Cricetulus griseus: one gene and its partner. The protein of the gene in region 1 interacts with the protein of each later gene in a pairwise test. Links are inferred from orthologs where the notes say so. Each region holds a gene or a part of one and is shown in the gene's direction. Other genes may lie near its edges. The genes, in order: Gem and Pdlim7.

Region 1 (3,805 bases):
TGTCTCTCTGGAGGAACATGTTCATGTGAGAGCACATATGTGTAGATTTGTGTACATGTGCACATGGATACCAGAAGTCAGACTCGGGTTGTTCTTCCCGAGACAGCCATCTTGTTTTGTGAGACAGAGCCTCTGGGCTTGGAGCTAGCTGAGTTGGCTAGGCTGGCTGGCCAGTGGACCCTAAGGATATGCCTGTTTCTGCCTTCCTAAAGCAAGGGTTACAAGTGCTCACCGCCATGCTTGGCTTTGCACATGGGTTCTGAGGACTGAACTCAGTCCTTGCGCTTGCTCAGTCAGCATGTTACTTACTGAGAGATGCCTCCTCAGCCCCCACAGAACATATTTCTAGTGAGACTTTGACAGGAGCCTCTTATGCCCAAGTCTTTCTTAATCACCTGACTCTGATAGCAATGTTCTTTCTTTTCTAGAAGACACATATGAGCGCACCCTGGTCGTTGATGGTGAGAGTGCAACGATTATCCTCCTGGACATGTGGGAAAATAAGGTATGCAGGGCCTGTGGCTGCCAGTGATTTCTTTTAGGCCTTGCCTTTCAACAGGCTGCTTGGGGCCAGAGTGACCTTGTCCTACATAGTGGATGTTCCAGATGCAGTGGGCTCATTTTCTTGATTAAAAACATTTACTTCTGAAGAACGAGACTGCTGAGGAACAGGTCGTCCACAGATGAGCCCTAAAGAACAAACAAATTGCAGTGGCTTGCCCTGAGTTCTATTAAAAACCACAAGAAACGTATTTGTTTTAGGGAAAGTTCAAACAAGCATGGTCACTTATTTTCAATGACACAAAACCACTTTGTGTGAAGCTGACCTTCTCAACACTGCATTCCAGCATGGCTTTTGATGGTTCTAGGTCTCCCAGTACATATGCAAGATTGTTGGTTGATTGAGAACCCTCCTATTCTCCCAAAGGATTTGTAGTTCTGCCCTTTGGGGAAAACAAAAGGAAGCTTTTAGGGAGTCAGAAAAGTCCATTTTGGGCAGGCTAGATTGTAATCGGAAATACTGTTTGTCACAGTAGCTATGCACCATATCAGCTCAAGCTGTACTAGTAATTGGAAAATAAGTTTCTTGGGCATAAAAACAATGCAGACTGCTTTTTTTTGTCCCTAGACATCTTGGAAGACAATGCATATTGAGGTGTTGGAAGCAGTTTTCTTCCTTTCTCTTACTTGGGATAGACATGCAGTTTCTTTGCAAAATGACACCTCAATTTTCAGGCTTGCCTAAGCTCACGGGAGGTCTTCGTATTTCATTAGGGGGAGAATGAATGGCTCCAGGACCATTGCATGCAGGTTGGGGATGCCTACCTCATCGTCTACTCCATCACAGACCGAGCGAGCTTTGAGAAGGCATCTGAGCTAAGGATCCAGCTCCGCAGGGCCCGACAGACAGAAGACATTCCCATCATTTTGGTTGGCAACAAAAGTGACTTAGTGAGGTGCCGAGAAGTGTCTGTGTCAGGTGAGAGGGTGTGCAATTCTGGGCACCGCCCTTGTACTGCATACACTGGACCACAGTGGGGTTCTCTCTCCCTTTTCCAGGGCCTCAGTGGGATGCTCCATGAAGGCTTATGTCTAAGACTCCAATGGTTCCCATCAGTTTTGTTAGTCATCTCTTGTTCTCTTCATCCTCTGGTCTACCTAAAGGGTTCCAGGCTTCCCACTGCCCTTTGGGTGTTCTCCTGGAGTTACTTTAGGGAAGAGAGCATCCTCAGGAATTTACTGGCAGTCTTGACCTTTGCTTCTTAACCTTTTATTCTTCAAGCAGATTCTACATTTAGGGGAGGAAAAGTGGTGTATTAATGCAAGGATGGGGAGCTCTTGGTTAGGAGACAAAAGAAACAGTTATACTTGGGTTGTTAGTACTCCATCTAATACTCTCTAACCCCAGCCCCTCCTTCCTAAACTTCTGGGAGAGCATGATACTGTTGGGACCACACATGAGTCTCCATCCTTATTTCAAGGGTCATTCCTATTTGATGAGTGTGCCTCTGTATTCTTTTTAAGGCCCTCGAGATTATATTGGTTTAATGTAGATTGCGTAGAACCATAAAAATGAAATATGGCACTTTCAGGCCCTGCTCAGTCAAAATGATTTTTCTAGCTACTTGGACTGTCTTACTAGGACACCACAGTATTCCGTGTTTAGATCTTTTCAAACTCAAACTTGGACACATGGCTACTAAACATAATATCTGAAATCAAGAGTTTTAGAAAAGCTTGAATAGTTTGACGTTTTATATATTTATAAAATCATCATATTCCTCAAAAGATCTCATCTCATCATACTTTTCTTTTTAAAAGACAGGAAAGCTAAATAGTAAACTTGGAATTAGAGTTTTTAGTGAGGGACACTGAGTCAGGAGAAAGTGTATAAGCTTGAGCACGGAACAGGGCTGGTTGTCCTGTCACTGTCAGCTGTGTGAGTTCCTTCCCATTTTTAAACACTTCACTCAGTTTCTTCGTCTCTCCGATGATAATAATGGTATATTTTCCAAGTTTGTTCTGAGCAGTGAAAAGGCTTTGGAAAGAACTTGGCCTGCTTTTGTGAATGTAGCAAACCTTTAGGAAGTGGAGGCCAGGGCTCTTGCTGTTGTAATTAGTATCAGTGTATTTGATGAAATTTTACTTTTCCATAGTGAATTTTTGGTGAGCTGGATCTAACCGGTTTCCTGGAATCCTCTTATTGTTTATTTCTACTCTTACCCGGGGGAAGATGTGTGCCCTGGTGCCCCCCTCCTCTTACAATGCAGTCTACTGCTCTATGCTATCTCTATTGCAGTTTTGGAGAAGTGTCCTTTAGCTTGACCACACTGTGCAGGATCATACTCTGTGACCCCTCTGACTTTCTTTCCTCTTCCTCCTTTCCAGAAGGGAGAGCTTGTGCTGTGGTGTTCGACTGCAAATTCATTGAGACGTCTGCAGCCGTGCAGCACAATGTGAAGGAACTGTTTGAGGGCATCGTGAGGCAGGTCCGCCTGCGCCGGGACAGCAAGGAGAAGAACGAGAGGAGGCTGGCCTACCAGAAGAGGAGGGAGAGCATCCCCAGGAAAGCCAGGCGCTTCTGGGGCAAGATTGTGGCCAAGAACAACAAGAACATGGCCTTCAAGCTCAAGTCAAAATCCTGCCATGACCTCTCTGTTCTCTAGGCACCCAGTGTCACCCAGATGTCCCCTTGATGGACATCGTAGAAGGCCCTTGGGACCAGTGATCTATATTAGATTGAATACATAAGCATTGTTAGTGGTGGCTTCCCCTGTTGCAAATGGGAACCAACAGGTTAGCCTCATGGGCAACCAAGTGCACGGGCAAGGAATCTTTGTCAAGAGTCAGTATTTATTCATAGGAACATCTTGATTTGCTACATGGGCACCTGAGACTCATTTAAGGGCATATTTGGGGTTCACATGAGTTTTGTTTTTGCCTTCTTTGGGCAGCAGAATATTGAAGCTTATGAAGAATACCTAGAACAGGAGTGTGTCTAATCATTGAAGTGTTGCCCAGTTTTGTTCTATGTGAATTTGACGCCCTTGAGTCATAAAGAAATCTAAGAAAATGGTGAGAGTTTATTGGAAGGAGGAGGGCATTCTGAATCCTCATCTCCCTGGAATGACAGGTGTAGAACCAGTCTCATCACAGTTGTGACTATGAGAAGTGTTGGACTTTGCTGGAAACTAAGCTCACTAACAGTTCTTTTCTTTAAAGCCCACAGAGATTTGTAGACTTAGGAGCTGATGTATGTAGCACTTGTAGTTCAAAAGATTGTTTACCCTTGTGTCTTACAAAT
Region 2 (4,523 bases), on another chromosome or scaffold:
GAAGCACGGGTTGGCCATTTTTGGTGTTACTGAAAGCCAAAGGACAATATGAGCGCTTAAGATGTGAGTGTAAAACCGGGCGTTGGTGGCGCACGCCTTTAATCCCAGCACTCAGGAGGCAGAGGCAGGTGGATCTCTGTGAGTTCGAGACCAGCCTGATATTGAGGGAGGAAAGCCTGAGAAGCCTGGGGAAAGGTGATTTAGACAAGGAAGCTGCTGGGCTTGGTGGTGTGGTCTCAGCTCTCAGGAAGTAGAGGCTAGACGATCTGGAATCCATGCACACTCAAGGGCCAAAGGGCCAGCCCGTCCACACGGGGAGGCCTTATTTCTTTTTACTTTTATTTCATGTGTATGGGTGTTTTACACTGCGAGCTTTATTTCTTTTTACTTTTATTTCATGTGTATGGGTGTTTTACACGGGGACCCTTATTTCTTTTTACTTTTATTTCATGTGTATGGGTGTTTTACACGGGGACCCTTATTTCTTTTTACTTTTATTTCATGTGTATGAGTGTTTTGCCGGCATGTTAATATGTGCACTACATGTGTGCCTCGTGCCTGAAGAGGCCAGAAGAGGGCATTGAATCTTAAAAGAAAAGAAAGCAATGGAGAAAGGGAGTGGTCGGCCTGGCCTTGACCAGCATGCCTCAGCAGGACGGGATGAGACCTGAAGGCTGCAGCTGACTTGATGGAGGTCGTGGAGACCTCGAGTACCATAGAGACAAGGGACAGCAAGAGGAAAAAGCAACGCAGACAGAACAGCAGAGTACCAAGGAGCATTTCTTCAAAGATGACATCTCCTGCAGGAGTTTGAGCCGTCGGGACAATGTTGGGGAAGGGGGATGTATGTAAGGATGGTAGGAGGGCGTGGGGGGGGGTCGTGCCCCCCACCATTCACTCTAACACTCAGGAGAATCGGCTTTCCTTCCCTCTGCCGTGACAGCTCCTTCCACCCCACCCCCACAGGACGGACTGTGTGCTCGGGAGGGGTGTTCAGGGGATACAGTCCGTCCCAATAGTGGTGCTTGGTGGATGTCGCAGAGCTGTGGACTGCTGGCTCTGTCTGGATGGACTCTTACTGTCAGGCCCCATGTGGGGCTAAGGGCCTCCTCCAACTCCGTTGGCTCTTACTATTTATTTGTTTATCTATTATTTATTTCCTTATGTATTGGTTTCCAGATTATCCTGCAAGCCTAGCTTTGGTTGGTTGGTTGGCTTTGGTTTGGGGGATTGAACCAGGGGTCTCTACCACTGAGCTACATCCCCAGCCCCGGGAAAGCTAACTTGCAACTACCCTGTCTCGCTGCTTCTCCATTCCCTGGAATTCAGAAATTCTGAAATCTCCGGTGGCGCGGACCACGGCCGCTTTGACCTGTACCGTATCCCTGACAGAAGGGTATTATGAGGCTATTCTCCCCTACAAGGGGAGAATGAGGTGAGAGAAGACCTCTACAGCCGGGGTGTTTTAAAAGGCTGCTTTCTCTTCCCCCTCGCCAGTGGGAGGCGCAAGGGGCTTGGGTGAGAGCCCGGAGCGGGGCGCAGGCTGGCGGCGACCAGGCTCGGGAGGGTCATTGCCCGGGTAAATGCGCGACCCTCCGTCCCTGTCCTGGAGACTCAGGGCTTGGGGACGGGGTGGGGCCTCGCACCGACCCCGGGATGTCCACTCGCGTGGCCTGGGGAGGGCGTGGCCTAGGGCTCCGCCCCCTTCCGCGGGCTCAAAAGGCGCGGCGTCCGCGGAGGCGGGGTCAGAGCGCAGCGCGGATCCCAGCAAGGCTCCCGGAGGCCGCCGAGCCGCGGCCCAGCCGGGCACCCAGGTACTGGCGGCCGCGGGGGGTTCCTGGGCTGCACCCCGTGGGGTCCCGTGGCCCGCTGAGGTGCTGCGGGGGGCGTGGCGGCCGTGGCCTGCGCCGGATCCCCTCGGTTGGCTTCGGCCGCAGCCTCCGCCCCCGCCTTCCTGCGGCGGTGCGGCTGATTGGCGCCTGCGCCACCGTGTGCGGTGGGGACGCGACCAAGCGCGGGGCTGGGGCTGGAGACGAGGGGAAACAGAGTCACGTTGGGAAGGGAGCTTCGTGCGTGTGTGCCACCACTTTTACTGGCTTCCAGAAAGAGTCCCCTCCCTGGCCGCGCGTTAGGGACATGACCCCCGCCACTCTCCATGGGGACAGCGCCCCGTTTCTTACCCCCCTTGCAGTGCCCGGGGTCCCACCCTGGCTTCCAGCAGCCTCGACCTGTCCCAAAATGGCTAGGACCCGCTGCAGCGGCCTCCTTCCTCGCCCCTCCCCCTCACGTCCCGAGCCCCTAAAGTGCTCCCTCCACGGGCTCTCCACAGTGTCAGCTTACACGCCTTATATAGTCCGAGCAGGCTCCAGCGGCCTGCTGGGACCCGGGGAAGGAGGGGGAGCTGGCCCCTGACTCACCCTGCCGCCCTCCTGAGATTCCAGGTTAGCTTGGGCGAAGCAGTGCCAATTAGCCCCACAGCCCACCCCCGGGAGAGAAAAGAAGTTAGACTTGATGAGAACTTTGCTCACCCTCCCAGTGGCAGGGGCCAGGGTGGGGAACTGACTTGTCTGTTGCCTGTGAGGTCTGCCAGCCGGGAGCCCCGCCAAACCCAACAAGATACCTGCCTCCCAGTGCCTGTGTGTGCTGAGCGTCTCTCTGTGCCTTCTGGTACCTGGCTAACGCTAGTGACCAGATCTGGACCTGCTGGGCCATCTGCAGTGCTGGGTGCGGCCACTCACTTTCTCTTCTGTCCTCACAGGAGCAGGCACCATGGATTCCTTCAAGGTAGTGCTGGAGGGGCCAGCACCTTGGGGCTTCCGGCTGCAAGGGGGCAAGGACTTCAATGTGCCCCTCTCCATCTCTCGGGTAAGCCTAGACTGGGGAATGCACTCCCCAAGGGTTCTTGGGTGCCCATGTTTCCAGCAAATGGTGGGAAGAAACAGCAAGAGCGAGCAAGCTGCTCAGGGGCCAACAGGACACCAGCATCCAGGTCCAAATGGGCCCTTACTTCAAGGACTCCTGGCTAGGTGGATAGTGGAATGGGGAGCCCCCCCCCCCCAGCTGCCCTGCTTTGACATGGTACTTGATGCTATTCCAAGCCCCCTTGGCCATCTGTGAGTGCCAAGGAGAAGCCTATTTTACAATATGGGAGGTTGATGTCTCCAAGAAGTGCTTTAGCATGAAGAACAGTGTGTGGCACCAGGTGCCAGGCAGGACCTAACTTTAATGTCACTGCTATCCAAGGCATAGCAGTTGTCATCCTGCTTTGCCAAGTGACAGGACTTGGAGGGATGGAGGAGCTCAACCAGCAAGTCCCTGGCAGAGCAAGAATATGAACTGAGGCACAAAATGGCTTGTCCTTCCTGTAAGTTTAAGGGGTCTCTTCCCAGCTGAGTGAGGACTGAGCAGGCTGAGACTCAGGTCCTCAGCCTGCTGGTTCTGGTCAGGCTGTAGTGACCTTTGACCCTAAGCAGAGGTGTAGTGAGGCTAGCCTCCAGGATTCTTGTTCCCATTCTTCAGTCTGCCCTGATGGGGGGTGGGGCTGGGAGCTGACTCCTCCCTGTGGCAGGGGGATTGCCTTATAAGCCCAAGAATGTAGCCCCAGCTGGGATGGCCAACAGTGGCCAGTCAACAGAACCCAAAAGGGTTGGCCTAGGTCTAGGCCCCTTAGCGCCATTGGTGGGCCCTTCACCTGATCATCAGTCATTTTGTGTCAGTGGGACTCAAAGCAAACTTTGTGCCAGAGTGGGTGAGGCCAGGGCGCCAGCTTGGTAGCTCTGACTGGCCTAGGGGGTCAAAAAAGGGGCAGGGACTTCCTGCCCTGATAGCCTCCTGCCTAGAGAGGCCCACCCAGCCACAGAGTAGGCATGCAGCTGTTGGCAGGAAGCCCAAGGCAAGCCCAGCCCGAAGGGGCCTGAGAACTTCCCGACACTGCTCAGCCTGAGAGGGGTGTCAAGGCTGCATCTCTCAGTGGGAGCTGGACATCAGATATCGGACATCGAGGCTAGGGCAGGCATACAGACAAACAGGCTGCGTTCTTCCCAGGACCCTTCCCTGGGGCCCTCTTGGAATCCGCCCCAACCAGCAGGGTGACTAAGGCAGTGGGCCCTCCCCCCATGCACATCCTACATCTCCCTCCTCCCGGGAGTGCTGGCCAGTGTGGTGTAGGGCTTGCTTTCTTCCTGGGTAACGATGGCCTCTTAGATGTTGCCTGTTGGAGGCACTCTGGTCCCTGGGTTCCTTTGTCAGCAGCCTTAACGTGTGGGTGGGGCTACCAGCTGAGCCCTGCCCTGGAATGGGTGGGGTGGTCTTTCCTAAATTGGGCCAGCCTGCTATCCCTCCCCTGACCCCAGAGTAGAGGGAGGAAGGAGGGGCGAGGCCTGGCTGTGGGCCCAGGCCTGGAAAATGAGGTAATGTCTGGGATTTGGGGGTTGGGCAGCTCAGTAGAGCTCCCAGGCTGACTCACCCACATCCATAAAGCTGTCCAGCCCCCTGGCTTTTTACCTCCTTAATCTCACTAGCCA

What was found.
Region 2: the proteins of Gem (region 1) and Pdlim7 interact in binary tests that used the Homo sapiens proteins (3 or more experiments, as listed by UniProt). The two-hybrid records come from large-scale screens. The link is inferred for Cricetulus griseus from reciprocal best matches to the Homo sapiens genes GEM and PDLIM7.

The regions. Positions count from the first base shown.
Region 1 is NC_048595.1:125,845,752-125,849,556, forward strand, and holds part of Gem (GTP-binding protein GEM), read left to right. Parts: intron 1-428; coding exon 429-505; intron 506-1,275; coding exon 1,276-1,480; intron 1,481-2,889; coding exon 2,890-3,167; 3' UTR 3,168-3,805. UniProt on the Homo sapiens protein: Could be a regulatory protein, possibly participating in receptor-mediated signal transduction at the plasma membrane. Has guanine nucleotide-binding activity but undetectable intrinsic GTPase activity.
Region 2 is NC_048596.1:274,497,932-274,502,454, reverse strand, and holds the start of Pdlim7 (PDZ and LIM domain protein 7), read left to right. Parts: upstream 1-1,690; 5' UTR 1,691-1,814; intron 1,815-2,758; 5' UTR 2,759-2,769; coding exon 2,770-2,865; intron 2,866-4,523. UniProt on the Homo sapiens protein: May function as a scaffold on which the coordinated assembly of proteins can occur. May play a role as an adapter that, via its PDZ domain, localizes LIM-binding proteins to actin filaments of both skeletal muscle and nonmuscle tissues.